7 linked regions of the Mus musculus genome follow. The protein of the gene in region 1 interacts with the protein of each later gene in a biochemical or structural test. Links are inferred from orthologs where the notes say so. Each region holds a gene or a part of one and is shown on either strand. Other genes may lie near its edges. The genes, in order: Erbb3, Fer, Hck, Abl2, Nrg1, Nck1 and Sh2b3.

Region 1 (4,438 bases):
TGGGGCCACAGTTCAGCCCACAATGAAGCAATTCTATCCAGGAGGAGGGGGCTGCCCCACCCTGCCTCAGACACCCCATCCTTAGCAGCACCCCCCTCTCACCCTGGAGCTTTGGCCTCAGAAAAGTGACCTCACTGGAGGGAGAAACCCTGGTAGTGGGGTGGGGAGGTGGGGTCAATGGGAGCTTTGTCTTTAAAGCTGGATGATAAGGAACTGGTGGCCTCCCCTCTCCTAAACTCTGGTTTCCCTTCTCACTCCCTTCCCCTAAGCCAGCATGCTCCAGCTCCCCCGGCAGCAGGCATCCCTGTGCAGTCCCGAAGTGCTTTTCACCAAACAGAGAGGTCTGGAGAGAAGCAGAACAGAGCCTCCACTCCCAAGCCTTCTTCCCAATTTCACTGCCAGAAGGATTCTTTAAAGAGACTGCTAACATGGCAGTGCTCCCCAATAGACACTCCAGGGGAGAGAGCCCAAAAGAGAGGCCAGTACAGTACATTTCAGTTCTTGGGCTTTCACTTTCCTCCCTGGAGCTCTAAGTATCTTTCCTCTGGCGCAGTAAGAGCACGTGGGGAGGGTGGGGGTAAGGGGTACACCACCAACCACCTGTTCTAACCACCCTTCCCTGAGGCGGGGCAGGAGGCAGAGAGCGAGTCAGAGGCCTCAGCTTCTCCTGTTAGATCTATGTCTGGTCTGACCCCTTCTTCTAGATCCTCTTCCTTATCCTTTCTTCATATGATGGAAGGAGTGGGCCAGTTCCAGCAAGGAGGCATAAACAAGCTAGACTCTCCTAGAGAAATCTGGGAGCTCCAGGGTCCTTGGGGTGAAATAAACGCCTGGGAAGGTTAGTCATTTCTGGAAGTGCCCCACCCCTGTCCCCTTCCTGGCAGGACACCCCTCTTCCAAGTTAAGGTGCCAACCCTTCTCCTCAGATAGGGGAGGAGCTAAGATATCTGCATAGGGAAATGATGTGTACCTGTGCGTGCATGCTGGCACACAAACACGTACACAGTTACTCTGGTGCAGAAATATATATTGTTTGCCCCTGGGGCCCCGAGTTGGGAAGTTTTACAAGTGTCCAGTCCATCCCACCTGCCCACAATGCCTTGCACACTTTGTGTCTTGTGCTTTGCAAGGCCCTACAGGTCTGTCTCGGTTACCTGCCACCCTTAGGGTAAAGTCCACATTTCACAAACAGGGGCAAAGGGCCTGGGTAGGACGGGAGTATAAACAACTACCCAGGAGGAACCAGGCAACTTGGGGCGCACAGGAAGCAGCGAGAACTGCGGGTGGGTGTGGGGTGGACCACACTCACAGAGGAGCAAAGGCTCAAAGTCAGAACCTTTCTCTGTGGAGAGCATTGACTGCGCAGACCAAGAACCTCCAGCCCTCAGAAGCCCCAGCCACACACACAAGGGGACAAAGGGGCTATACAAGGCTTGAGACAGGGCCGGATGCCCAGAGGCTCAGGATGGAGATAAAGGATAGAGAACTAAACATGCCTGCTCCCTGCCTCTTGAGGAGGGTGGTGGGAATCTTGGACTCTTGGGTTCCTGGTTGGTGGGGGCACAGTCAGATGGGACAGTGATCCAGTCACTCCCCTGGCCCCTCCCACTTCAGTCTCCAGACCACCCCCTCCACCAGCTGGGAGTGTTCACATCTCAAGATCCCAGGGGCTAAATTTAGGCCCAGCAACTGTGGGGGAAGCACAGGTGGTTTCTCCCACTCCCACTCTGGGGAAGGGGCAATGAATGTGCCAACCCCAAACTGAGATCTGGGGATCTGGGAAAGGGGAAAGATCAACAGGACTCTAATGATACCAATTCTAGTGCTCTTCAAGTGTCCATAGTCCCAGAGACACGGAACAGGCTCAGATGGCATTGAATGGGGGAAGGGCAGAAGTTGGGTCTAGGAGCCAGTTCACAGAGTAGAATGTTCAGAAGGTGGGAGAGGTGGCCTTAGATTGGAGAGAGAAAGAGGTCTGATTGTCCTTTCTTCCAGAGCTCCAGCTTAGGGTATATAACCTGGAAATAGTATAGTATGTAATAGATGCCCAACATGTTCACTGAATTAACCTGGGTCTTGATAAAGAGAAGTTGGTTAAGTTGGGGACCGGTTTATCTTATGGGAAAGCAGGCAGTCAGCCTCTGTGAGACCTCTCACTGATGTCACCTGGACTTGGCCCTCAGGTTAATCTCAGCCTTCTCAGGACAGCCCCACTCACGGAAGAGGAGGTGCCATTCTTGTTTTTCCAACATTAGAAAACAACAACTTCAAACCCTTGCATAGCCCCGCCCTGTCGGCAAAACAACGAAACTGGGGGTTGTTGAAACCTGGAATGGGGTGGGGGCCAGGGAACCTGAGAGCAAACGGAGACCCTTTCAAGCCAAGGCTCCTTACGTTTACAGAAGGGTCCCTGCCCACCCTCCTCCCAAGACTCTCAAGTGTGAACTACTGTTCGGCACCAACCAGATCAGAATAAAACCAATTAGAGGGTCGGCGACGCCCTGGGAATAAGGGTAGGCATACAGGAATGCAGTCCCTGACCAGCCCACTCCAAGAACTGAGGCACACGGTCCCCTCCTTGGTGGTCCGAGCAGACCCTGTACCGCACCCCCCAGTTCAAAGCGTCAGAACCCAAACTCCTTGCCCAGGGTCTGCGAGCGCTCAGATTGCGCCCCCAGCTTCCAGCCTGCTGGGGCTCCCGCGCGGCTTACCTGCCTGAGAGTTGCCCATCTCGGAACCCCGGGCCAGGCTGAGAAGGAAACCCAGCACCTGCAGAGTCCCAATCGCACTCATGATTACAGTGGAGGGTGAAGGGAGCCCAGCCGAGTCTGGCCCGGGGCCCCCAAGATTAGGAGGACATCCAGGCGACAGCCACCTGAACAGCCAGCGATTAGGTGGCCGCGGCGGCAGCGGAGGTTGCAAACTGCAACCGGAGCCGTAGTCGGAGTCCGGAGCGGGACGGCAGGGGAGGGTGTCTGTCTGGGAGGGAGGGAGGAAGGGAGGGAGGGAGGGAGTGAAGGGGGAAAGGGGTGAGTCACGGCCGCGCCCCCTCCCGTGCGAGGCTGGAGTCCTGATGGTTGTAGCCCGAGACACCCGCCCAAGCGTGCCCCGCCAGCCCACAGCTTGGCCAAGAGGGTCAAGGAGGGGTCTCACTCCAGCAATTTCCCCCGGAGATGGTTAAGAGGAGATCAAGATTCCAAACGTCCCCAGGCGGGGGAAAGGTAGTGAATGCGCGTAGGGAGAGCGCTCCGAAGCCCAGCCCCCAGAAAGCTGGCCTCGCCCATTAACCAAATCACTCAACTCCCCTAGCCGGTTGGATCACTTGAGGGATTTTTTTTTTCTTTCGGAGTGTGAGTATTTCTATTTTTTCGAGTGGGAGGTTGTTTTTCAGCCTAGCGTTCATGCCACCTCAGTTTCCCCGGGACGCAAAGCCCCGTAACTCATGTACCCAGCTCGGGAACCCGAGCCCCGGAGGCTGCGTGAAATCGCACTGTCTCCGGCCGCTTCCTCCTGCAGACCCGGCGCCGGCTCGGCCTCTCGGGGGGATTTGCCTGGGGGGCGGGGGCGGTTTCCAGCCTGGGAACAGACCCCGGAGTCCGCCTTCCCACTTCTGCCCGGGGAGGGGCTCCCGCACCTGTCGCCGTCCCCTCTGCTGCCCCCCACGGCCTCCCGAGAGAACAGCTGTCTCTGAGGGACCGACCGCGCCGTCCGGACGGCCGCGGTTCCCGCCTCTCCTCCGCGGACCCCAAAGGGCACAGCAACGCTCACCCCGGAGGCGACAGCGAAGAGGGGCGCGGGGAAGTCACCGCACATGACCCCCGGGACCCTGGGTTGCTTCGTCCCGGACGGGTCCGACTGGCGCCCCCTGGTGCCCAACTCCTTACATTTCGCATCCCTTACATTGGCATTCCAAGATTTTGCCCTGAGAATTTATGGTCCCCTCCCCCTAGGCTAAGGCTATCAGCTACACTCCTTTCTTCTCTTTTGTTTATTTTTTGGTTTTGAGACAAGGTCTCATATAGTTCATATAGCTCAGGCTGGCCTCGAATATATTATATGGCTGAGACTGTTGGCTTCCACCTCCCAAGTACAGATGTGCGCCACCATATCCGGCTCTCCTGCTACAATTTTTAAAAAAATTTGTTATCATTCCTGTGTGTATGATCGTTCGCGCTATGATATGCGTATGGAAGCTGGAAGACAACTTTGGGGGAGTCGATTATCGCTTTCCACTTTTACCGGGGTTGTGAGATGGAACTCAAGTCAACAGGCTTTCTCTGCAAACCCATTTAGGTATCTGTAGAGGCCAGAAGAAGTCGTTGAATTCCTCGTAACTGGAGTTACAAATTATTGTGGGCTGCCATGTGGGTCTAACCCTGGTTCTTTGGAAGAACAAGTGCTCTTAAACACTGAGTCATCTTTTCAGGTTCCCCCATAC
Region 2 (3,929 bases), on another chromosome or scaffold:
TAGATCCACGGGCGACACTTTAATGCTGTGCTGTATACCTGTGCATTATCAGTAAGATTTCCAGGGAGTGGCTTTAGTGGAAAAGAGGAGATAGAGGTGTGGGTGTCCCTAGAGATTTTCATCATCAATGCTGACTTGACATCTGGCCTGTCCATTTCATTCACAGCAGCCCTGCACTTCAGTAGATATATGTGGATGTGTTTGTAACCATGCATCATGGATTCTGAAGACCCAGAAACTGGTACAAGTAGAGGGACTTTCATTCTGGGATTGTCTCCTAGGATGAAGACACACAATCAGAACCATGCTGCTCTTCCTGTGGACGCTAGTATCTAAGAACGTTTCCACTGGGCTCTATGAACTCCTGAACATTTCTTAGACCTTGTTAGGGAATTGAGACCCAGATATAGGGTATTCTGAAGGCGTACGTCTGGGAGGAAGGCAGGCACTCTTGCTTTCTTCTCCCTGGTGAACACTGGCTAGCTGCCCACACATGCTTCCTGTCATCCTTGTCCTCTGCAGTGTCCTGCAGAAGCTGCTGCCTCTGTGCCCTGAACTCTCTGGAAATTTTCTGTGCACCATTTTCTGTAGCCTGGACTGGGGAAGTAAAAGACAAAATGACACGGCAGTGTGATGTTCTCACCGGGCTTGTTCTGACAGAAAAGAAAGAGAAACCCTAGGAAGTCCAAATGATTCCCAATATATGATTATATTTATAGATATAATCTCGCCTTGGCAGAGTGGAGAGCAACTGTGGTGGGCACGTGTCCTGCAAGCATGCGCTACCAAGGCTGTTTATAGCACCAACCGAGGAGGGCCTGTGGCAGAAGACAGCAGCCCACAGGCTGTGCCTAGAGTAGAAAACCTTGGAGATCACCAATGGACCTAGGTATTAAAGGCAGGCCTTTTTCTTTGGCCTTTACCATTAGTCCTGTGCTTTTCTCTTTACAGCGGTATCAAATGGCAGGGTTGCTGTGGTTAGCTAATACGGCTCTGGGTAGGACTATTTATTTCTTGAATAGATTTGCCTTTAACATAGTTTAAAGTGGAACATACTTTAAAAACCCAGTTAATAAAAAAACATAACCTTCAAAGATGGTTGCAGTAAGGTGGTATAAAGTGGGGGTGACTGAGGACAGAGTCCTACAGGTGGCATCCAGCCCTGGCTGGCACTATGTGATCATCTTCTTGATGACAGTGAGCTCTTTGTGAAGGTCGTTGAACTTAGGGCGGTTTTCAGGCTTGTAATCCCAACACTTCATCATGATTGTAAAAACCTCCTCTGGACAGTTCTGTGGGGCTGACATCCGGTATCCTGAAGATGCAAGAGAAGAGTTGAGAGCTCAGAAAGGGGGTAAGGGCATCATGCTGTGTGAATGTTTGTCCCTTATGCAGTGAGTGGGGTAGAGAGCAAAGACCTGCGCCAGTGTCGTAAACGCGCTGGCGAGCTCGCACATGTGGGTGGCGCAGAGCACACAGCTACAGAGCCACGTACCTGTCAGCAAGTCAGAAGTAGGCCTAGCATATATAAAAGCCTATTTTAGTTGTTCTAAGAAGTAGCTTCCATAATGATCAAACAGACAGGGCAGGCGTGGCTGGGGTTTATACACACATTCAACAGTGAGCTGAGAACAGGCTGGTGTCTAGCAGCATTGGGGCTTGTGCTAGGAGGTGTGGGTTCAGGGAAGGAAGGCGGGCCACCCCCACACTCAGGCAGTCATCTGAACAACATCCCTCTTGTTGGAAGCTGTGTCCCACACAAGCATGTGTGGGTGCTACTGCCATCTTGTCACCCCGCCTCTGTCTGGAGCACCCTGGTGTTTCTTTACATCACAGCTTCTTGGAATTCCTTCTGGAAACTAGAAGCATTTTCACTTGGAGAATTAAGGGACTTATCTGATGTGGAATTTAACACCTCTCTAAGGCAGTCTACCTTCTTTCTCTCTCCCCGTGCTGAGAGCACCTGGCCTTTACTTACTGTGATACAGCGGCACGACTGCTATGTACACAGTTCACACTCAAGAACTGTGCAATTACGTTAGGAAACAAATTACAAAACCAAACACCCAAAAAACAAACAGAACCAAGAATGCTTCAAATACATTTACAGTTGTGTTGCCATGTTCACAGCTATGCTTAGCTGGAAGCTACCTAAGGGCCACAGGTCAGACAGGCTTGCAAATGTTTGCTTCTGTTCTGTAGGAGCCGTAGCATCCATAGTATTCCAAAACAGACTTCTCTAACATCTTTCCTCCTTACTGTGTCTTAAACAGCACTGTGATTCTTCTCCCAAAGCCAGTGTGCGGGCACCACTGGCCTGGTGGACTCCGACGTGAAGCACTAAGGCCTTGGCTCACCTCTCTCCACTTGCTCTCGCGCTTGCTGGTTTGTCATTCCAGGGTACGGGCAGACTCCTAGGCTGAAGGTCTCCCAGAGGAGGATGCCGAAGCTCCACACGTCACTTTCAGAACTGTATCTCCCTGAAAGGGAGGAGATAATGATAACCCGGTGAGTGAATGGGATGAGAAGACAGTGGCTCTGGCTACGCGTGTCAGCTCGTCAGCCTCCACACAGCACAGTCAGGCTTCCATAGGACACCACAGCAACATCCCGTTCTCGGTTCTCAGTACTCGCCTTAATGCCAGGGCTAGTAATGGTAACAATCAAGTGAAGTCTTCAGGAGGCTAGTTCAACTAAATGAGCTACAAAATGTCTTCCCTTCCCCAAGAACAAGAATTCAGCCAGCATGCAGGCTTATGTCCCCTGTGATATGTGGATGAGGATGGTGTGTGTGTACAGACACACATATGTGTATATATACACATTTATACACACATATATGTATATACACATATATGTATATATACATATACATATATACACAAAAACACACACACTTGCACATATCAATGCCTAGGAGATTAAATAAGTCAGATTCCTACAGTTTGGTCTTCTGTCTGTGTCATTTTCTTTCCAGTAAAATAACAAACTTAAAGCATTAAGGAAAGTTTCTTAACTTCAATGTTTTACTCATCACTGTTTGTAGATAGTTTTACATGCTTAAAGGTCTCATTTTCTCTACCGATAGTTTCATTTGCAGAAAATACATTTCTCCATGTGGTCTGAATAGACTGGAAATTAACATAGCTGGCTGATAAAAACAAGTTCTTCAAATTACATGGTGTCTTGTTTTGTCAAAATATCTTGGTGCACCTGTTTTATTGAGCTACATAAGCTGAACTCTTAGGAATGTTTTTGGTCGCTTTCAGCAGAAGCACAGAGATAAAATCCTACCCAGGAAGCCTTGTGGGGATGGATAGGAAATCAGGGAGAAGCAGCAGAAACGTCCCTCCCAGTCTAACACATGGCACATACACACTGTCACAACTAAACCCCACCTGCAGTAATGTTGATGGCATTTTGTTTTTGAAGTGAAACACACACACACACACACACACACACACACACAGGTCTATGTGTATATGATATAGATTGGCCTTTATCTCCAGACCCTCCTACCTCTGCCTCTCCAGTGCTGGGTTACAGGCATATGTCACCACACATAGCATGAAGGTCTCTTGAACCATAGCATTTCCTATCCATCTGCTACCCCAGGATTTGTAAATGACACTCCTAGAAAATGGTCATGTTCCTCTAAAACAGAATGGCCTCTTCCATTCTGGAAGAGAGTAAAATGGCCGAGAGTCTGCCTGTGCTGGGGTGCAGTCCTCAGCCTGCAGCACACACTCATTATCCACCGCAGCTGTGGAAATCAGCTTCCGGCTGAGCTAGGAGGTAATTACGGACATTGCCAGTGCTGCTGGCTTAGGAAAATTACTTTTCTTCTCTACACATCAGGTCTTTTCATGAAACTCATTTGGTGGCTAAAGGTTAAGGCTAATTTTGGGAAGAACTTAAGTTATGTAGAC
Region 3 (3,929 bases), on another chromosome or scaffold:
TCAGAGCCAGGGCCCTGGGGGGAGGTGGTGGGCCTTTAAGAGAGCCCTTCCTTTAATGCCTGTGGTCTCATCTACAAGTAAACTGCATAAAGCCAGTGGTGTTTGCCATTGTCATTATTGTGGGAGCCACCCCCTCCCTCTAATCAGCCCTGCAGCTTAGGCCAGCTGCAGAGCCTCCCTGGGCTCAGTTTCCTCATCTGAACTTCACTTTTTTTTTTTTTTTTTTTTTTTTTAATGACACACTCTGCAGCTCAAGTCTAGCCTGGCCCTCCTGATCTTCCCTCTGCTTCCTGACTGTTACGATTTCAGTCATTCACCATTGTGCGCAGTTTGTACTTAAATTCTTCATACCTCGATTTCAGGTCTGTAGGACGACGGAATGACAATTACCTTCCTACATTTGCCTGCCAGGACTCTGGGCTTGGCTGCTGTGACTGACTTTGGCCAATAGGGCATTGATAAGTCAGTGCAAACAGAGGCTTACCCACTGCTTGCACCTTGGACAGGTCCCACTTGGAGCTCTGATACTGGGCTGTGAAGAAATACTGAGTGCTGAGAGGCTACACAGGGAGAAGTTGTAAGAATGAACGTCACCTTGGACATGCTCCTCACGCCACCTCAGTGCATAGAGTGCTCCATCTAGCCTGCTATAGTCAGTCCAGAGAATCATGGGAAATATTCAGTGTTATCATTTCAGGCTACTAAGCCTTTATCTGTTACATAAGAATGGATGACTTACATGGATGGTGACGTAGCTCAAATGTAGTCCTTCTTTGGCATGTACAAGGCCCCAGGTTCCATTCCTCACACCAAAAATCAACAAACAAAATTATTCCAGAATCTGGAGAGATGGCTCAGTGGTTAAGAGCACTGGCTGCTCTTCCAGAGGTCCTGGATTCAGTCCTAGCACCCACATGGTGGCTCACAAGCACCTATAACTATAGCTCTAGAGAATCTGGCACCCTCCTCTGACATCTGAGGGCAGCAGACATTCATGTAGTACAGACTCATAGACAGGCAAAAGACCCATATAATAAAATAATTAACCTGTTATGAAAAATTCCGTAGTTTTGATGTCAGCACTGTATGAGTTGGTTCATATGAAGAACAGTCTGTATCCATGGGTTCTGCATCTGCACGCAACCAACCGCACAGCAAGAATATTCTAAATCAAATGCTGTCTATAGACTTTAAGTGGTCATTATCTCTTATACAATACGAAATAATAACTGTTTACATAGCATTTGTGTTAGATTCCATAGGCCAGCTAGAGATGCTTTAAGTAGCATGCAGGGGAATGTGCCTAGGGAAAATAGTATATTTACAGTAAATATACTATTTTCTATAAGGGACTTTAGCATACAGAAGTCTTTGAGTACTTGGAGTACTGTGACTAGTCCTTGTGTGTGGGGAGCATGAGTATTCACATGAAAGACACAGAGAACACAAATGACGTCACCTTTCCTGTCACCTCTCCTGACTATCGCTGGCACAACTCACCTGGGCTGAGAAGTCAATGAGTTTTGGCAGTGGCTGCTTGCTGCCTTCTTCACTCTTGAGAAAGTCCAGCAGGCTTCCTGCAGAGGGGAGTGAGAAGGAACATGGACTACTGCTCCTTAGTGAGAAATAAGTAACAGTTTTTCATAGCAATAGAGATCTTTCCTCTTTGCAGTACAGGGACTGAACCCAGAGCCTCACACATGCTAGGCAAGCACTGAGTTACATCTCCAGCTAACCACCTCCTCCTCCTCCTTTCTCTTGTTCGTTTTTTGAGACAAAGCTTCTCTGTGTCATTCTGGCTGTCCTGAAAGTAGATTTGTAGACCAGCCTGGCCAGCCTTGAACTCACAAAGAGATCTGCCTGCCTCTGCCTCTCAAGTTCTGTGATTAAAGGCAAGCCAGGTATGACTTTCTTCTTGAGATAGTGCCTTGTTATATTGTTCAGACTGGTCTCCGATTCCCAGGCTCCAGCTATTTTTCCACTTTAGCTAGTAGATTAGTCTTGACTCCCAGCATTTATCCCCGCCCAGCTGCAGTGCTAGTTAAAGACACATCTACTTACTGCTTCTAGTGTCTGAGTGCTAGAGCTTGAATTTTTCTGAAAGGACTTTTTAGTTGCTTACTAACTCTTTGGTTGATGCGGCCCCATGGACCTGGGTGTCCAGGGCTTTGCTTTAGAAAGCTGGGTGGTTGTAGATTTGTAAAGTAGACTTGAAAAGTAGAAAAAGCTTTGAGTTTTCAAGTCACATTGGATGTTGTTGTATGAGATGTTTATCCAGAAATGACCAGGGACTGAAAATGACTATAAACCAGCTGTTCTAAAACTAACTAACTAACTAACTAACTAACTCTGAGAAGCCGGGTGTGGAGACACACATCTGTAATCCCAGCACTTGAGAGGCTGAGGCAGGACAGCTACGAGATTGAGGCTAGCCTGGGCTACATAATGAGTGCCAGGACAACCTGGGCTACAGAGTGGAATCCTTTCTCAAACATTCTTGAAATATGCTGAATAATCCCAGGATACAGTGGCCCAAAGCTAAGTAGCCTGAAGTGACAACACGGACATTGTCATGATTCTGTGGGTTGGTCATAGCAGGACCAACCACACTGTGAAGTGAGGTGACACAGGTGGAACATTCAAGATGAAGTGGCACCTTTATGGTCTTTCTCCATGTGGCTTCTTGTCCCTTAGAACTTGGAGCAAGACTTCTTTACAGCCCAGCACTGAGGTTCCCAGGTACGAGTCACAAGGAAGCCATGTGATTCCTCTGTCGCCCAGAGGCTCTGCAGCCCCTGCCCCTCCTCTCCACCGAGCTCCCTTCACAGGATTGCACTCTGCCAGCCAGGAGGCTGGAGTGTAGATGCTCTATGAGGTGGCTGTGCCAGAAGAGCCACGCCAAGGCCATCTTGGAGACTGAAAGGAGTCAGCTTGGCCCACACTCTATCCCTGCCCACGCACCTTTGGCCATGAACTCCGTGACAATAAAGATGGGCTCCTGAGAGACCACAGCGTGTAGCTTCACCAGTTTGTCATGCTGCAGCGACTTCATCAGGTTGGCCTCAGCCAGGAAGGCCTCCACGGACATGCTCCCTGGCTTCATTGTCTTCACCGCCACTTTGGTGTGCTTGTTGTAGGTGGCTGGGGAAAGCATGGAGCACGGAGGGTGGTTAGGACCCAGCAGCCCTGGAGGAGCCCTCCCTGCCCATCTTAAGCCTTTAAGACAGAGAGAGAGGCCTGGACACCGGTTCCCTGCCTAGCTGAGTACAACTGAAATACCTACCTTCTCTGGGCTGTCTTCCTCACCCACTAAGTGGAAGGGATAAACTCTCACTGAAGGGCTATTTGCAAGACTTATAAAATCCTCCAGTCTGGGCTTGGGGCACATGCCTGTCATTCTAGACACTTGTCACTCTCAAGACAGTGAAGTAGGAGGACTGGAGGCTCCGGGCCAGCCCATGACTCAGAAGACAAGAGTTGAGACTGGTGCTCAATGGCACAGAACTTGCTTAACGCATACAGGATACTGAGTTTAATCCCTGGGTAGTAACCCTTAAGCCACCAGTTAGACTGCAACATGAGCCTGCATAGCATGTAAGCTTAACGCTGCCTTGAAACAATTACCAGATTCATTATGCCCCATAGGCTCTGCTTGGCCTGATCACACCTACTTTTCTGTCCTTGTCATCCACCAAGGTCACCTCCAACACATGCTCAAACTAGAGACTGAACCAGGGTCTCATACTAGGAAAATGCTCTACCACTGAGCTATATCCCAGCCCCCTTCTCACGTTTTATTTTGAAGCAGGGTCTTACTAAGTTGTTCAGGTTGGCCTTGAACTTGAGTCCTCCTGTCCCAATATATAGCTGGGATGGTAGGCATATATCACTAGGCCTGACTCAATAAATTCACTCTTACTTTCTTTTAA
Region 4 (3,929 bases), on another chromosome or scaffold:
ACATGCTATATTTTAAGCTATACAATTCAATAGCTTTCAGGACATTTACAAGGCTCGCTAACCACCACTGTCTAACTCCAGCACAGTTACTTAGAGCTGTTAGGGATCACGCCCACACTCCTCTCCACACAATTCTCTGGCAAATACTAATCTATTGGTCAACTTTATGCGTACGAAACTCATCTATAGGAGACGGTAGAAAAATTCTCTGAACAGGGATGAAAAACAGGCATCTTAGACTTGGGGCTATATAGGGTTCCTATAGCAACTACTCAGGTCTGCTTAGAAATACAAAGTAGCTTCAGAAAATTCAGAAATGGATAGACAGCTGGTAGGACGGACTTGTGTCTATAGCATCGTGTTTATTTCTGTTTCTGTAGGAGATTCTATCTTAACAATATATCATAATTTATTAGTCAATTATGCTACTTGGTACTTCGATTGTGAGGCTATCATAAACACTGTTGCTGTGAATTAATGTCCTTGCATGGTCTGACACATCTGTGCGCTCGTTTTTGTTGTGCATGTGTTAGAGAGCAGATGTAAGTGTCCCCCACAGACTCATGCTGAAGAGCTCATGGGCTCAGTCAGTCAGCTGCTGCTGCTTCTGCTCCCTTTCTCTGCTATGGAGGGAGTAGCTCTGCTCTACCACACGCCACATGACCCCACCATGGTGGTCTGCCTGGCCACAGCCTACAGGGAATAGAACCATTGATAGTAGACTGAACTCTTTGAAGCCAGGAGTGAAAATTACCTGTTTCTTCACCGTTTCTCTGTGATATTTGTCACAGAGACAAACAAAAGCAAAACAACTAATAATGGCTGCATTTCTTCTTCTTTTTTTTGGTTTTTCAAGACAGGGTTTCTCTGTGTAGCCCTGGCTGTCCTGGAACTCACTTTGTAGACCAGGCTGGCCTCGAACTCAGAAATCCACCTGCCTCTGCCTCCTGAGTGCTGGGATTAAAAAAGTGCACCACCACACCCAGCCCGCATTTCTTCTTATATTAATTACTCTGATACCACTCACTTGGGCCACAAACAATATACTTATATAATGGTTAAAGGGGGGAGAGAGAGAGAGAGAGAGAGAGAGAGAAGAAAAGAAAAGAGAACTAATAAAATATTTCCTGTGCTGAATCAGCTCTCATACTTTACAAAAACTGTTTCATTTAATCCTTACAATAATCTCACAAAATGACTTAATAACAGACAAGGAGGAGACTGACATCACTTAGTGGTTCAATTCTCTTTTCTTTCTTCATACTTTACAAAAACTGTTTCATTTAATCCTTACAATAATCTCACAAAATGACTTAATAACAGACAAGGAGGAGACTGACATCACTTAGTGGTTCAATTCTCTTTTCTTTCTTTTTTCTCCACAACCCCCCCCCCCCCCCCGTTTCTCTGTGTAGCCCTGGCTGTTCTTGAACTCAGAAATCCACCAGTCTTTGCCTCCCGAGTGCTGCGATTAAAGGCATGTGCCACCACGCCCTGCAGTTCAATTCTCTTGAAGAGAGATTTCTCCAGCACCCATTCCAGTTCTGGGGATTCCAAAGCCCTCTTTTGGCCTGTGTGAGTATTACACCCATATGCACAAACCAGCCCATAGGAACACACAACATATTCTAGATACATCATTAATATAAATCAAAAGTCAATGAGGGCAAAGGGAGGAGGTATGGTGGTGCACACTATAATCATACACTCTGAATTCAGACAGGCAGGACAGTTGCTACAAGCTCATATCTGTATGTATGGTCTATATGGCAAGTTCCAGTACACAGAGAGATCCGATCTAAGTCAGCACCACTACCACCACCACCACCACCACCACCACCACCACCACCACCACCACCCCCACCCCCACCCCCACCACCCAAACTGAGACTTAAGGAAAGTCTCACAGCTAATAAATGATGGTGAGGTACAAAGCACAGCAGTTCTGCCTGCTCTAAGGCCGCATGCCCCTCCCACTTTGTCCACATGCCCCTCCCACTTTGTCCGTCCTACTGAGGGAGGAAAGGGGGCTCAACTTCACGAACCATTCAATAGAACAACTGGTTTAAGTTGGGAACTTATAATTTATGTTTGATTTTGTTTTAAAATGTAATTACTATTATTATTTTATATGTATGGGTGTTTTACCCACATGTTTGTGCACCACACATATACCTGGTGCCCATGGAGGTCAGAAGAGAGCACTGGATCTCCCAGAATTGGGGTTTCCGATGGTTGGGAGTCACCATGTGGTACTGTAAATCAAACCCAGGTCTCTGCGGCCCTAAAGAATCTGTGTAACACATTCACTCTACGCAGACTGGCTGGGCAATTCATCTATTGCCATTAGCACACAGTGATGAGAACAGCAGCCTCCAACACCCTCTCACTCTGTGACCTCTCTAGTGGACCGGAGTCTCCTTCCACAGGCTTGTGGTTGACTTCTAACGTCTTCTCTATGCACTTGGTGTGCGTTTATGCTGATGATTAAAACAGCTAACCTGTGTAAATCTCTTCAATCCTCAACTTCAAATATGACTTACCCTTAATTATCTACAACTTTTTTTTGTTTGTTTGGTTGGTTTTTTGAGACAGGGTTTCTCTGTGTAGCCCTGGCTGTCCTGGAACTCACTTTGTAGACCAGGCTGGCCTAGTACTCAGAAATCCGCCTGCCTCTGCCTCCCCCGAGTGCTGGGATCAAAGGCGTGCGCCACCACACCCGGCTTATCTACAGCTTTTAACTGTTTTTTGAGTTGTTTTGAAATAAGCAAGCTCTAATATGCTAAATAGCCCAAACTCACCAGGTTAGGCAATACTTTATTTTATATCAGATATAAAAATTATTTTCTATTTTTTCCCTTCCTACTGAAGAGCCAGTCCACATGAACAGGTCTTACCTTGCTGTCTGTGGTGGTATTGATCCTGTAGTGATACACACGTCCCTCATACCTGAGAGAGATGGACAGCTGCCCAGGGCTGCTCTCACTCTCTCGAACCAGGAAGCTGCCATTGATTAGGCTGCTGAGGAGATACTCTGCTGCGCTGCGGGATACAGGTCCGTGGTACCAGGAATGTTTCTCCAGGCTATTAACTGGAGTGATGTAGTTGCTTGGCACCCAACCCTGTCCATTCTTGGAGCGAACTTCACTCCACTCGCCATTCTGGTTATAACCAAGGACTCGCAGCTTTTCACCTAGCCATCAAGTCATCACAGAAAGAAAGGCATGTTAGGACTGTCAGACTGCAGCAGTGTAGTGTCAAACTGCAAATCACTGAAAAGTGAACCAAGGACTTGGGTTCTTGCTTACTAACATCCTGACTGATCTCTACTCTGAGCAGCTTAACAAAAGAATGGTTTCTGAAGGATTACATATCACTTAAAAAGTCTTCCAGAAACGATGAATTGTATTAAATTAGAATACAGAATTTACTCAAATAGATAGAAAATGACAGTGACTGAGTGTCTGTGTGTGTCCCCCAAAGAGGGGTTGGGGTCACTGGAACTGGAGTAACAGGCAGTTGTGAGGTACCCAACATGGGTACTGAAAACTGAACTCCAGGCCTCTGAAAAAGCACTAAACGCTAACTACTGAGCCTTCAGCCCAGCCCACCTGCCCACCCTTTTCCTTTTATGTGAGTCTCACTTAGTCTAGACTGGCTCGCCTCAGACTCGTGATCCTAATTCAGTCTCCTGAATGCTGGACTACAGACATGTACTAACACTTGAGCAGTACTTACTCCTCAAAAAAACAACACATTTTACTTTCACTTAAAACAGATACACACACACACACACACACACACACACATACATACATAATTATTCATTGTTAATGAACAGGACATCATGTGAAATACAAAGTTACTTAAATTTTCAGATGATACCAAAGCAACAAAGCCATCAATATAAGCAAACACCTCCCAAGACC
Region 5 (4,503 bases), on another chromosome or scaffold:
AACCTTGTCGGCCTGCGTGGAGAATGCTGCCTCTCTGCAGGAACTGCACTTGCTTTTTATAGCCCATCATTTCATCTGGGGATTATTTCCCGGTCACTTTGCCAGGTGGGGAGAGGCGGCAAAGGCAGAGAGTCTGTCAGATTTTTAATGATGCTTTAGGGATTTGATGGAAGATGCAAAGTGGTATCTGCATACAGGAGGCTCTCCCAATTACACCTGGAAACGAAACGCAGGCATCCTTTTGAAGTCTTTACACTGAAGCTGGAAGATGTCAAACAACCTTGAATGGAGTGCACATATCAAGTTTGTTTGTTTTTTTTTTTCCTGAGTTTCCCTAGCATAGTGCACAACTTCATTCTAAACAGCACTGCATGGAGGAGGTCTTATTTACTCTTCCTTACGGTCTAGAGGGAAAACTGAAGAGGCGCTTTATTATAAACTCTCTACCCTCAGCTCCTTCTAACACTAAAGTGTTTCACATGCATTGTTGAGAATCAAATTCTCTCATATCTTAGGGGTTTTTTTTCCTACTAAGTAAACTCATCGATGGTAATAAGAAAGAGTGGGAAAGACAGGAACTGAAAACACTAAAAACATTTCTTTAAATATTGTAACCAAAAGACCCAGCTCAGTGCTGACATTTGGGACAATCTGGCTAGTCATCATCTCATGGCTGTCAACTTTCCATCATAAAGCTAAGGCAATGACCTCTGCACACACCAGTGTTTCATTCTGGATTGTTTTAATAGCGTGGAGTCTTTTCCCACACAAGTTATTAAGCCAGGCTTTGGCAACAAGATGGGGTTAAATGACACACGTTCAAAAAAAAGAAAGAGGTACCTTGTTAACGACTGGGCAGGAATGTACTTAAATGCTTGATTACAGAAGACAAAACTCATTTAGGAAAATCCTTCTGTGGAAAACTGCAGTCTGTCTTGAACAAAATACAAACTGCCTCTGGTCAGTTCTCAGTAACCAAATGTATGTACGGCACAGGTCTGAGGACAGCAGAGGGAGGACTGTGTCTTTCAGACTTGCTGCAGTATCAGAATCAAACAATGACAATTCAGACGTGCAGAGATGTACTAAAGAGGCAGGAAGAAGAGCTGGAGAAAGATGACAGGCAGCTTGGGGCTCCGGGGAAACAGAATGGGAAGAAGAAAGTCGAAAGAAACTCTACTGAATGGCAGGCGCAATACCAAATAATACTTATTGGCACACCGACGTTACATGCCTATTAAAATATGAAGGACAGTCAGATATTAACTTCTAAAACTATAGCAAATCAATTGACCTTAGCTTACATCCAAAGCCCAACTTCAAAGATGCTTGTAGTTCTTAATTGACAACCTCAGACTTAACAACCTGGCTACATGGAGTTGCTGTTAAAAGACCTGATTCATCCTAGGAGTTTATAAAATTGCTTTATTTTGTTTTTTTTTCCCTGTCACGTGATTCACCAAATAAAACCTCCCGGTTAAAATGCAAACTCAAAGGAAAAAGCTAACCCTCTAGAGTTTGCCTTCTGGAAGTTCCCTCCCACCCTTTCTTTTAAGCCACCATCGCCTTTCTTTCTCTCACTACTTACAAAGTTTAGGAGCAGTTTGCAGATTAGTTTCTGTTGTTTGTGGCTGAGTTCCTGACTTGGGTGTTCTCACCTCAGGGGTCCGAGCTGGAGAAGGGAAGGGCGGTGGAGTGGAGTGTAAGGGAGGAAAAGCAGACAGCCGGTTCTTCCGGGTGGGTACTGCGGAAGGTTCAGAGGCCACAGCGACATGGTCACCTTGCCCTGTAACATGAGCCTCGGCTTCAGACTGAGCCTTAGAGACAGGTGAAGTGTATGCCTCGGATGAGACCAGAACAGCGGAGGCAGCCGTTGGATCCAGAGAAATAACAGGGTCCTGGCCTAACCCCCCAGGGTCAAGGTGGGTAGGAGAGTCGTATTCGAATATCTTGTCCACAAATACCCACTTTAGGCCAGCAATGCAGAGGCAGAGGCTTACTAGACAAGCCAGAATGGGAACAATGCAGATCTTCTCGGAGTTGAGGCACCCTCTGAGACGCTCCGCTTCCAGGCAGACACAGCAGGGCACGGCCAGGCCCAGGAGTCCAGGGCTTCTCCCATCTTCTGTGTGGGTGTCTGGCATATGTTCCGCTGCCGGAAGCCCATCGAGAGATGGGTCTGCACTCAGCTGAGTGGAGGGGCTGGAGGACCTCCCGCCAGCTCCCTCAGACATGTCTGGGGGATAAATCTCCATCCGGATCACCTCCAGAAGGCCCGGCCTCTCTCACAGTGCATTACCATGCAGAGCTCCCCCCAACCAAATGATACAGCATCTTGAAGGGGGAAATCGATAAGGCACCCAAGTCCAAGGCCATTATCCAAAGTAAGAGAGCTTAAGAGGAAGCAAGAAAAAGATAAAAAAAAAAAAAAAGGAAAAAAAAAAAAAGAAAAAGAAACGAAAAAGGAAGGGCTTCTAGCAACTATGAAATAGAAGTGTACCGAAATATCTTGAGCTGTTGTTTCTGGGACACTTTTTCAGTTCTTTCAAAGGCTTCTCCAAACCATCCCGGTTGGTTCAAGAAGGCAGGGGACCAAAAGAGGAAGCAAGCTGATGCCTAGCTGATTAAGTAAACCAGTATCCCAAACTGAAAGGCATGTTTCTCACCTCAAGCGTCTGAAGCTGGTGTCTGCTTAGAGGAAGAAAACAACTGTCATGCAGGAGAAGTAAAAGCAAAAGCAAGACCAGAGGAGGCGGCGGCAGCAGCAGCGGCGGCGGCAGGAGGGGCAGCAGCGACAGTAGCAACAGCATCCTGTCGTGTTAACGCAGCGGCTGAAAGAGGCTGAATCATTACAGAGCAGCAGGTGCCTGCCCTCTGAGCATCACGGCAAACAGTACCATTGCACAAGGATGCGAGGGCAGGAGGAGCCAGGAGGGGCGGTAACTCCCTTCCCCGCCCTGCCTCCACCCCCACCCCCAACCACTCCTCTTTGTCCTTCTTGCGCTCAGTCACTTTTTCCTCTGCAATCTTCCTTCTTCATAGCTTCTTTCTCTTCTTCCCTCCTCCTCCTCCTAAAGATATATTCTCTCTCTCTCTCTCTCTCTCTCTCTCTCTCTCTCTCTCTCTCTCTCTCTCTCTCTCTCTCTCTCTCTCTCTCTCTCTCTCTCTCTCTCTCTCTCTCTCTCCCTCTCCCTCCCTCCCTCCCTCCCTCCCTCCCTCCCCTGTGCCCCGCACCCCCAGTCCCCACTCTACTGCTAGCTGGTCTCTAATAAGTACAGTATACCCAGCAACGCAGGTCCGCCAGTGAGTTCCTATTTTATCCAATTACAAGGAATAAAGGCCAGAGAAAAGAGAAGCAGCCGGGAACCAGCTAAACTGGGTCTCCCCCGGCCTCCTCCCCCCCCCCCCCTTCTAATTTCCCTCTACCAAAGCAGGCCCCAGTCTCCCATCCCACACTCCACCTTGCTTGCTTTCAGTCTTGCTGGCTCTCTCCTCTTCACCCACTGTGGGGTCAGAAAAAGCCAGGGATCGATGATGCTAGCAATCTAACAAAGCTGGGATGGAGGGGGATGGGGTGGGGGGTGGAGGTGGGGACCTTCTGGGTTAGACCTGAGGCTTGGCAAAGTCTGATCTCTGACTCCTCCCCAGAGAGGTAGGCTTTTCAACAGCAATTTCTTCCTGCCTGCTGTTCAGCGGCATTCCTTCCTTCCGTAGCCAGTTCTCTAATAAGTTTTGTTCACTAACAGGACTCTTATTACCCGGTTTTCAACCAGCAGTTAGAGCACTGTTTCTAAACCATGGACAGCTCTGCCTTCTTCCTTCAGCCACCTTCTTGTGGCTAAAGACTTTTTCAATGCTCAGAGCGAAATGCTGAGTGTGTGCGGGGGCGGGGCGGGGTGTGAGGGGGGGTGGGGGAAGGGGAAAAGTCCCGAGTGTCTTCCTGCTCTTTACATTTGAGTCCTCCTTATTCCATCCAGAGTAAGCTAGAATAATGTCAACCTAAGAGGAACACTTACGCTATCTACCGCTTCATTTTCAAATTAGCCTTTCATGTTGACTCCACACTGCAGAGGAGGCTTGAATTCCCTGGGCACTGTAATACACACCACATCTCCTCAGCTATAATCGCACTGCCAGTATTGAGAATTTTCAATCAGAGCGTGCCTTGTGGATTAGGTTTCAGAAACTGTGATTTACAGATAGCTTCCATGCTGATTTTTGTTTGTTTGTTTGTTTGTTTGTTTGTTTAGAAACAGGACTTGAAGTACTGGAAGAAATGGAAGAAACTCACTGTAAGAGAGAGCACAGGCTCCAGGGAACATTCCGTGGTGTTCCAGTGTCTGTCTGTGCATCTGAACATTTAAGCCACTCTTCCAAGGAACCAAATGACTTCCAAGGAACTGTGTCCATAGGGGAACTCTTACAAACTCTCTCGAAATCCAGACAACATCGTCATCCCATGCAGACCCAGGGCAGTGACAGGCAATGCTCAACTCTTAAGAA
Region 6 (3,929 bases), on another chromosome or scaffold:
GACGTCAACAAAAGTGCAAAGTGACCAATCCTATAGATGCGAATATACAGCAATAACCCACTGGTATAAAACTCTCTTCAGTTAGAATAAAATAAAGTGATTTGTTTTTTAAGTGAGATTCATTAGCGTGTCAAAAAGGTTCAATAATGTGCCACATAACATAGGTTAACAGGATACAAAGGAACCAAGTCTGAACGCCAGGCATTCTTTTCCTTTCTCAACTAGTGGCAAACTTTCTGCAAATCAAAACTCCACAGGAGCTGTTGTAACAAGGTCAAAGTTGGGCTGGAGAGATGGCTCAGAAGTTAAGAGTACTGACTGCTCTTCCAGAGGTCCTGAGCTCAATTCCCAGCAACCACATGGTAGCTCACAACCACCTGTAATGGGGTCTGATGCCCTCTTCTGGTACTTATATACATAAAATAAATAAATCTAAAAAAAAAAAAAAAAAAAAAAAGCCAAAACTAAGATCTAAAATGAAAGCTGTTGCTTCTCCTTCAATAAGAAACAACTTACCTAAGGTGTCCTTCAGGTTTTTAACAATAGATGCTTTCCGAGCACTGTTTTTTCTTTCCACATAGTTAGAAGGGACAAAACCTGTTTTATTCATGGAATTTCGAACTCGCCACCAGGATTTAGAGTCATCCAGGAGCCATAATCGCTCATTCTTCTTGATATCCAGCTCTTGTTCCTGCTGTGCCACATAATCAAATTTGGCCACCACCACCACTTCTTCAGCCATCTTTCAGCAGCGTCAACACTGTAACACATAGAACATGTTTTAAATGGTGCTGAAGTGTAATTGTCTACATGCTTGTCCAAAAAGACATGCTTAAACATTTAAGAGGCCAGGAATTATGACTCATACCAGCAAACCTAACACTCAAAAGGCTGAGGCAAGAGGACTTTCATAAGGCTGAGGCTAGCCTTGGCTACATACTAAGTTTGAAGCTAGAATAAGCTACAGAGTAAAACCCTGTCTCAAAACTAATATACAAAACAGGAGATGGGCGGGGCACTATGCAGTTCAGTAGTAGATACTCCTAGCCCGTGCACAGCTTTGAGCTCAATTCCCAATACTATAAAAAAGAAATAAATTTAAGAGTATCAAAAAGTTAAAAGTGATATGAAAAATGCTAACAGGCAAGTACTAATTTTTAAAAAACACTTGTTCCTATTTGGTATTATATAAACTAACTTACATTTAAAACCACCGTTAGCAATGAAATTCACTACACAGACAACTGAACATTCCTCTTAAAGTAGATAAAATCAAACTTGTATACAACAAATAACAGATGCTTTCTGAACACTTTTGTCTTCCCATATAAGTTATAAAGTACAAAATTAAAATATATTGGTATAACTACAGGAGAAAATAACAGATTCATTATTATAAGGGATAATTTTTAACATATTTATCTCAATTAACAAAACAATCAAGGAGACAAAAGCATCAAGGTTATAAATAACACTGTATTAGTGAGATATAATCGGCCTATATAAAATGTTACTTCTAAACAAAAGAACATATATGGAACACATAAAAACCATCAGTCTGAGGCTAAACAAAGTCTTAGCCGTAAGCTCAGCGCCTGGAGGCTGAGGCAGCAGCATCACAACTCTGAGGCCTAGACAACATTTCAGATCTCAAAAACATCTCTCTCCTTTTATAGTGTTCTCTGGACTGAGAACCAAGTATAACGGATAAATGTGTATGAAAAATGAAGTAATAAAGGCAGGAGCAATGGCTCAGCTATTAAAAGTACTTCCCACTCTTCCAGAGAACCAAGATTTGGTTCCGACTCCCTACCTCAGGCAACTAGCAACCCATTTTAACAACCCCTTGTAACTCCATCTCTTCTCTCCTCTTTATCTCTCTTTCTCTCTCTTACACACACACACACCAAATAAATTAAAAATATTAAAAATAAATATTTAAACTGGAATAATGAAGCCCATTACTTTATAAACTGGCTTAAAAATTATTTTAAACTTTCATGTAACTGGCAAAAGAATTTATGAAGGAGATGTTTAGTTAAAGTTGGGGCTGTTAGCCATAGCCACTTAACACTCAGGAGTTAAATCTCTAAGCCCCTCTCTAATTAAAATGACAATTCTGGAAATATTAAGAAAAAGAAAAAGAACATGCAAATACTAGGAACCGCAACTGTATACTGCAAACAGTCAAAGGGAATAGTAACACAAACAACTTTATAAATAAATCTGAGGACAATAAAATACAATGATCAAACTCTATGAAAAATAAAAAAATATAATTGAATGAGTTAGTTGAATTGTTGGTTTGTTTTGTATTTTGAGGCACTGTTTCTCTGTGTAGCCCTGGCTATCCCGGAACTCACTCTTGTAGGCCAGGCTGGCTTCGATGCCATAGATCTACCTGCCTCTGCCTTCTGAGTGCAGGGATTAAAGGCATGAGCCACCACTGCCTAACTTATATGCATTATTTTAAAATATATATATATATATATATGCAAACACTGTCCTGAAACGTAAGTTTAGACTTGATCTCACTCTGCTTTCTTCAGAGAGATTGTTTCATAAAAGCAGATATGCCTCATGAAGCAAGCAAATAAATTCAGCCTTTTATTTTGGGTATTGACTACCATGTCAGTTTTCTCAACAATGAAGTAAGTACTTTAATCCAGAATTCAACATCCTTTTGCTAAGTATGTCAACAAGATAGATACAGACAAAGGATTTGCAAAAGCCTCAAAATCTGCCACACATTGTTTTATGCTTTGTAAGGGAATCACTTAAGTCAACAAAAATGCTTTTAAAAAGAAGAAAAAGAGACAACATGGTGTATAAGAAACACTGATGAACTAGGAAGGTGGTAGTATCAGTGGTAGTATTCTTGCCCAGAATGCACAAGGCCTCAAGGGTTTGATAGCCATCATGAGAAAAACATAGATGAGCAGAGAAATTTGGGGGAGGGAGTGAGGGGACGCTACTTGTATTACTGCAACTTGACGGTCTGAAATTACTTACGCACAAAGAATCTAAATTATTACTGACATATGTTGTGATTTAAGTTAGAATAAAAGCTGAGGAGGTGCTAATGTGCCTGCTATGCAAACCAGGGGAAGAATTTGATACCTAAGAATGCCAGATGTAGCAGCACACAACTGTAATCCCAGAGTTGGGCACAGAAAATTCCTAGGAGGTAGCATTCCAGAATTTAATGCCAGCCCATCTAGCAGTCTAGCTAGGTTCAGTGAGAAACCTTTTCTTAAATTCTTAAATATAAGGTAGAGAGCTATTAAAGAAGGCATGTAGTTGTCAACTCAACCTCTGACATACAGACAGACAGAGACAGAGACAGAGACAGAGAGAGAGAGAGATTTTGATTGATTTTACAATGAGCAGCCAGCTTTCTGAAACACTGGAAAACTAGAAGCAGGGATATTTTTCAAAGATAGGCTAAAGAACTATGGCTTCTCCCTTATACACCACACCTAATTTATAAAAGCTTAATGGACTTTATTTTGATACTTGACAACTGTCTTGAATTTTTTTCTAGAAAAGTGTGTAAAATTAATAATGAATATTTGGAAAAATATTATTTGCTGACAAACTATATATTCCAGAATTTAATGTCTCCTGTTTGGAGCATACTTGGATTATCCTTCTATTAGAACCTATTGTTATTTTTAGCAATATAACTTGGGAGACTAACTTTAGCTTCAAGCAACTGGATTAATCAAAGCCCCATCAGGATATCAGATTCACTTACTGAACTTTTAAGGCCAATTAAATGAAAGGAAAAGAGCCTTCAGAGAAAAGGTGAACGGCTTTTGAGAAACAAAAAGAAATTGTTTCAGGATGAGACCGGAACTATTTTATCAGCTGGAGGATGAAACTGACAGAAAGTAGAAAGACCGTTGCTTGGAAATGAGCCAGAACTG
Region 7 (4,410 bases), on another chromosome or scaffold:
GGAGACCAAGCTGCACCCCCCCCAGCAGCTAGGGGGGGCACATCCGGACAGGCCCCAAGGGGCTCCAGGACTGGCTCACAAGGAAGCCAGGGGGCTGGCCCCCCTGCCGACCCTTGACAGGGTTGTGTGGGAGGAAAAATCTTTCAGCCATCTGCTCAGCTGCTGGGGTTTCCGGCTGGCCAGGGCGGGGCAGGCCATCAGGTCCCTTAGGGACTTGTCTCTTGTCCCAATGAGAATGGTACTGGGCTGGAGAGCTCAATGCAGGAGGTGGGGGCGGGGGCGTCACTGAGATCCCTAGATCACTGACCAAGAGACACAGGTTGTCCAGATCATGGGGCGCAAGCAGGTGGTGTCTAACAGTGCCCAAGGGCATGCAACCAGGCCTGAGGTGTACCCGGTCCCTGAAGGACCTCAAGCCCCCGGAAGCTGGAAGCTGGGGTGCAAGGCTCCTGGGTCCAACTAGGTATGACTCAGCTAGTGACCCCCACTGAGTCATTTCCCCTAAGCGGTGTGCCAGCCTCAGTTTCCTCGGGGAGGGTGGGTGGCCGGGAACAGGCCTGGCAGGAAGGAGCAGCCCCTCCAGAAACTCCAGATGGAAGCTGCTTCCTGCTCTGCCCAACCAGAGATGCTCAACACCCAAGGGGCCCTGGGGACCGTTTTCCCAGGAAACCTGGCAATTAAGGGCCAGCCACTCCTGGATTAATAGCAATGGATTAATAGCAATAGCTTAAATTTATTGAGCACTAACATGCCAATACTGCATGCCTCTCCCCGACTCTGTCCTTCAGCACCTCCACTTCAGACTTCCAAGAACACCTGTAACTCTGAGACAGCACAACCCAAGCCTAAGATCTCAGAGTCAGGCCAGTTACTGCCTACCTGCTTCAAATGTCTTCTCCTTGTTGGGCTCCTACATAGTGCACAACCACCTAGAGAGGCACAAGACTTGGCTGACACTGGGCAGGTCCCAAGAGATGTCAGGTAACTTGCCCAGGGCCTCACCCCTGAAGCTAGCAGAGTCTGGATTAGTCTCCACACAAGTGCTGCTCCAGGGAGAAATGAGGACTTGAAAGGAAAGACCTCTCGTTTTAGTTTTAACAGTACTATCTGTCCCATCTCCTCGTGCCAGCAGTTAAAACCCTTCCCGCTCTTGATGACTTTTTCATTGCCTCACAGAAGTGCCCACCCAAAGAGTCACAGCAATGGGACATTCAGCAGCTGACTAGCCTCACAATGTGGGCTGGACCCCCAGAGACCTGCTCTGGAAAGGGTGTGATACAGGCCCAGGCAGCCGGAAGGGGCTCCCAAGCACCTTCAGCTCTATCGCAGAAGTGGGAGAAACCAGATGGTGGCCCAACTAGCCTAGACAGCCTGAGGCACACAAGCTGATGGCACAGCCCAGCTACTCAAAGGAAAGGACCGTCACTTCTCTAAGAACATTTTGAACGATGAGGACCAGGCACTGGGTGACATTTGGTGCCAGAGAGTCAGGAAGGAAGAGGAGCAGCAAATGACCTCAACAAAACAGATAACACCCTTGTCATGACTGCCTGCCCTCCTGATCAAGCCATCCTGTGCTCTGGTGGCCCTCACAAGTTAGGTGTCAACTGAGGGAACCCAGGCCAGGAAGGGGTTTGTCATCTGACCCTGCCCAGGGTCCTTCAGAGTTCCCTGCCCACAGACTCGGGAAACCCCAGAGCAGCTATGCTCAGGAGAGAGCCGAGGACGGTCCCAGGGCCAGGGTCAATAAAACTGGACAGTCTGAAAACCAACGGCCTGTAACTGAGGTCTTCTCCCAACGGCCTGTAACTGAGCCCTTCTCCCAGCCGGACGCAGGTGCCTTCCACACAGCATTCATTAAAACTCCACCTCATTGTAACTGCACCACAAATCTCTTCTCACTCACTGAACAGCGGGGAAACTGAGGTCGCGACCCTCATCTTGGAGAGCAGAGGAGAAAGAACACAAGTTCTGCCTCTAGGACCCTCGGTTTCCTCTCTTGTCACTGCCCAGCCCTTGAGATCCCCAAACCACAGCTGCTGCCGCTGCTGCGGGCCAGCCCCTTCCCAGCTGACCACCCATTGGGACTGCACAAGTTCCAGAATGTATTCACCCCTCCTGGCTCAGATGGCGTTTCCTCCCAGAGGAGGCCTGGGGAACAAGGTTCAGAAAGTGTCCTAAGAGCATAAAACTCTTATAACCTCAACTTCCCCCAGCGGGCCCTGGCCTGTCATGGCCTGTCCCACCCCCTTCCCCCATCTCTGGCTGATTTCACCTTTAGGACTCCGCATATCATCCTTGGTTGATCACCGGGGCACTAGTGACACACGTGTCCCCCCCTCCCACCCTCACCGCCAGCACACCCCCCCCCCCGGCAGGGGCCCAAGCACGCTGTGTGCCGGGACAGCTCTCGGTTCCTCCCGCGGCGCCCCGCCAGGCTCCTCTCCGGAGGCCCCAGCTGAAAGCACTGACCTCCGCGCCCACATCACTGCGGTCTGGGATTGGGGAAGAGAAACAGAATGAGGAAACGCCAGAAAACAGAAGCGGGACCCGGGGACGGCCGCCCGGCCCAGTTCCTCCAACACGCTCGGCGGGCCGCGCTTACCGCGCAAGCTGCGGGTCGGGGCCCGGCCGGCCCATGGCGTCGCACGGCCTCTCGGCGCTCAGGCAGGAAACCCCGGCTCGGAAAACGGCCAGCGCCTCATTTCCGCCGCCAGCTCCTGACAGCAGCCGGGGGACGCGGCCTCGGGCCGTCCCCAGGACGCTGCTGCTGCTGCCGCCGCCGATGTGGACCCCGTGTGGCCCGTGACAGTCTGGGCTGGAGAGCGGCCAGGCGGAGGCGACGGCCCGAGCCCATGCCGCCCCACGCCGTTATGTAAAGAGGAACCAGCCGCGAGCCGCGCGCGGCGGCGGAGGGCGGCCTGGGGGCGTGGCCACAGAGAGCCACGCCCCGGGGCCGCCTGCGGAGGCCGGGGGCGGAGCCTATCCCGGCCCCGCCCTCCTCTCGCGCCTCCGCCCGCTGCCCGGTGGGAGGTAGCATAGCGACAAGCTCCGCCCCCATAAGGCGCGCTCTCTGCACCCAAGTTGCGTCGCGCCCCCTAAAGAAGGGAAAAAAAATAATAATAAAATAAAGAATCTCGAAGGGGAGGAGCGTGCTCGGTCCCGCCCCTCTCGCGCTGGCCAGTCACCGCGTGCCTCGGCAAGGCGGGGCCCCTAGAAGGGGTGGGGCGGGGCTAGGCGCGCGATGGGCGTGGCTGCCCCGACCTTCGGGACCTCCTAGGGGCGCGCCCCTGCGGACTCCCTCCAAGCCCAACCTTATCTGAGCTTGCCCGGCCGGGTCTAGCAACTGCGACCGCGGTTTTCATCACCTCCAGGGGAAGGGGCCAGCCCCACCCTGGCCCCACTATCCATGACTCCGCCGAGCCGTCCTGCCTCCGCGGCGCCATCCATTTGAAGTCCGCTCCCCTCCTAAGGTCCTCGGAGTCCCGGAACGGGCCGAGTAGGCTGTTCTCTACCTGGCCGCCCGGCCGCATTCTCTAGCTTGATGAAACTTTCTCCAAGAGCTCCTTCGCATCCCAGGCAGCCGAGCCCTTTGAACGTCCACGCCTGCGCGCCCCTTAGCCCTTTACCTTTTCTCTATCGCCACATTGGCTAACAGTGGGGTGCCCCTGTTCTGAAGTGGAGTCACTCACTGCACGCCAGTCTTCCCCGCGACTCTACGGAGGGAGGGGAAAGAGGAATGCCTGTCCCCTCCCCCTCCCCCAACAGGAAGCAGGCCGCCCACGCCCCCAGCTTGGAGGGGCCACTGCAAGCCTTCCCAGACGACAGGCTCCCACGAGCCGCTGGCTCCCTGGAGCCTTCCCCTTGCTGCGTGGGACCAAATATTTGACCCCCTCCAACTCAGTTTTTTCATCTATGAAATGGAAATAACACGTGTCTCCAGCCCACTCAGGGACTGGAAGAAGTGAGTTGCTCACATTAGAGCAGCCTAACCAACCGGGCTGAATTCAGTCCCCGGGCCTGCTGTTGGAGCCCGAAGAAGGGACTCCCCCGTAGGTGGGGATTTCCACTACAATCGGACGGCAGCAAGCTGGAGCCTGGTAGCAAAATGGCTTGGAAGAAGCCCCCACCCACCCACCCCCAAAAAACGAGCCAAGGCAATGTCTTAGGCACTATAAGGTGTTTGTGGACATCAGTTAGTGATTCCCTCGTGGGGGCGCCACTCTGGTTGGGAGACAGCATCGGTGACAGCTCCGTTGTGGAGTTGTCTTTGGGACACAGGAAGAGAAATCTTTGAGTAATATTTAAGCTGCGATCTCCCACATGATGAGGGGGGAAGGCAATCCCAGTCAATGCAGCGCCAAATGCAGAGGCTCTAAAGTGCCTTGTTAGAAAAGTAGCAATGGCCCC

Evidence for each region.
Region 2: the proteins of Erbb3 (region 1) and Fer form a complex in vitro, tested with the Homo sapiens proteins (2 studies listed by BioGRID and IntAct, with this or other methods). The link is inferred for Mus musculus from reciprocal best matches to the Homo sapiens genes ERBB3 and FER.
Region 3: the proteins of Erbb3 (region 1) and Hck form a complex in vitro, tested with the Homo sapiens proteins (2 studies listed by BioGRID and IntAct, with this or other methods). The link is inferred for Mus musculus from reciprocal best matches to the Homo sapiens genes ERBB3 and HCK.
Region 4: the proteins of Erbb3 (region 1) and Abl2 form a complex in vitro, tested with the Homo sapiens proteins (2 studies listed by BioGRID and IntAct, with this or other methods). The link is inferred for Mus musculus from reciprocal best matches to the Homo sapiens genes ERBB3 and ABL2.
Region 5: the proteins of Erbb3 (region 1) and Nrg1 form a complex in vitro, tested with the Homo sapiens proteins (8 studies listed by BioGRID and IntAct, with this or other methods). The link is inferred for Mus musculus from reciprocal best matches to the Homo sapiens genes ERBB3 and NRG1.
Region 6: the proteins of Erbb3 (region 1) and Nck1 form a complex in vitro, tested with the Homo sapiens proteins (2 studies listed by BioGRID and IntAct, with this or other methods). The link is inferred for Mus musculus from reciprocal best matches to the Homo sapiens genes ERBB3 and NCK1.
Region 7: the proteins of Erbb3 (region 1) and Sh2b3 form a complex in vitro, tested with the Homo sapiens proteins (2 studies listed by BioGRID and IntAct, with this or other methods). The link is inferred for Mus musculus from reciprocal best matches to the Homo sapiens genes ERBB3 and SH2B3.

What each region holds. Positions count from the first base shown.
Region 1 is NC_000076.6:128,586,709-128,591,146, forward strand, and holds the start of Erbb3 (receptor tyrosine-protein kinase erbB-3 precursor), read right to left. Parts: upstream 2,928-4,438; 5' UTR 2,794-2,927; coding exon 2,712-2,793; intron 1-2,711. UniProt on the Homo sapiens protein: Tyrosine-protein kinase that plays an essential role as cell surface receptor for neuregulins.
Region 2 is NC_000083.6:64,136,261-64,140,189, reverse strand, and holds the end of Fer (tyrosine-protein kinase Fer), read right to left. Parts: intron 2,481-3,929; coding exon 2,358-2,480; intron 1,316-2,357; coding exon 1,173-1,315; 3' UTR 694-1,172; downstream 1-693. UniProt on the Homo sapiens protein: Tyrosine-protein kinase that acts downstream of cell surface receptors for growth factors and plays a role in the regulation of the actin cytoskeleton, microtubule assembly, lamellipodia formation, cell adhesion, cell migration and chemotaxis.
Region 3 is NC_000068.7:153,135,910-153,139,838, reverse strand, and holds part of Hck (tyrosine-protein kinase HCK), read right to left. Parts: intron 3,142-3,929; coding exon 2,962-3,141; intron 1,578-2,961; coding exon 1,501-1,577; intron 1-1,500. UniProt on the Homo sapiens protein: Non-receptor tyrosine-protein kinase found in hematopoietic cells that transmits signals from cell surface receptors and plays an important role in the regulation of innate immune responses, including neutrophil, monocyte, macrophage and mast cell functions, phagocytosis, cell survival and proliferation, cell adhesion and migration.
Region 4 is NC_000067.6:156,624,552-156,628,480, reverse strand, and holds part of Abl2 (tyrosine-protein kinase ABL2), read right to left. Parts: intron 3,194-3,929; coding exon 2,898-3,193; intron 1-2,897. UniProt on the Homo sapiens protein: Non-receptor tyrosine-protein kinase that plays an ABL1-overlapping role in key processes linked to cell growth and survival such as cytoskeleton remodeling in response to extracellular stimuli, cell motility and adhesion and receptor endocytosis.
Region 5 is NC_000074.6:31,915,949-31,920,451, forward strand, and holds the start of Nrg1 (pro-neuregulin-1, membrane-bound isoform), read right to left. Parts: upstream 2,896-4,503; 5' UTR 2,256-2,895; coding exon 1,589-2,255; intron 1,555-1,588; exon of another isoform or gene 841-1,554; intron 1-840. UniProt on the Homo sapiens protein: Direct ligand for ERBB3 and ERBB4 tyrosine kinase receptors. Concomitantly recruits ERBB1 and ERBB2 coreceptors, resulting in ligand-stimulated tyrosine phosphorylation and activation of the ERBB receptors.
Region 6 is NC_000075.6:100,507,913-100,511,841, forward strand, and holds part of Nck1 (cytoplasmic protein NCK1), read right to left. Parts: intron 761-3,929; 5' UTR 743-760; coding exon 517-742; intron 1-516. UniProt on the Homo sapiens protein: Adapter protein which associates with tyrosine-phosphorylated growth factor receptors, such as KDR and PDGFRB, or their cellular substrates. Maintains low levels of EIF2S1 phosphorylation by promoting its dephosphorylation by PP1.
Region 7 is NC_000071.6:121,833,945-121,838,354, forward strand, and holds the start of Sh2b3 (SH2B adapter protein 3), read right to left. Parts: upstream 2,916-4,410; 5' UTR 2,606-2,915; exon of another isoform or gene 2,473-2,605; intron 2,316-2,472; exon of another isoform or gene 2,276-2,315; intron 2,161-2,275; exon of another isoform or gene 880-2,160; intron 1-879. UniProt on the Homo sapiens protein: Links T-cell receptor activation signal to phospholipase C-gamma-1, GRB2 and phosphatidylinositol 3-kinase.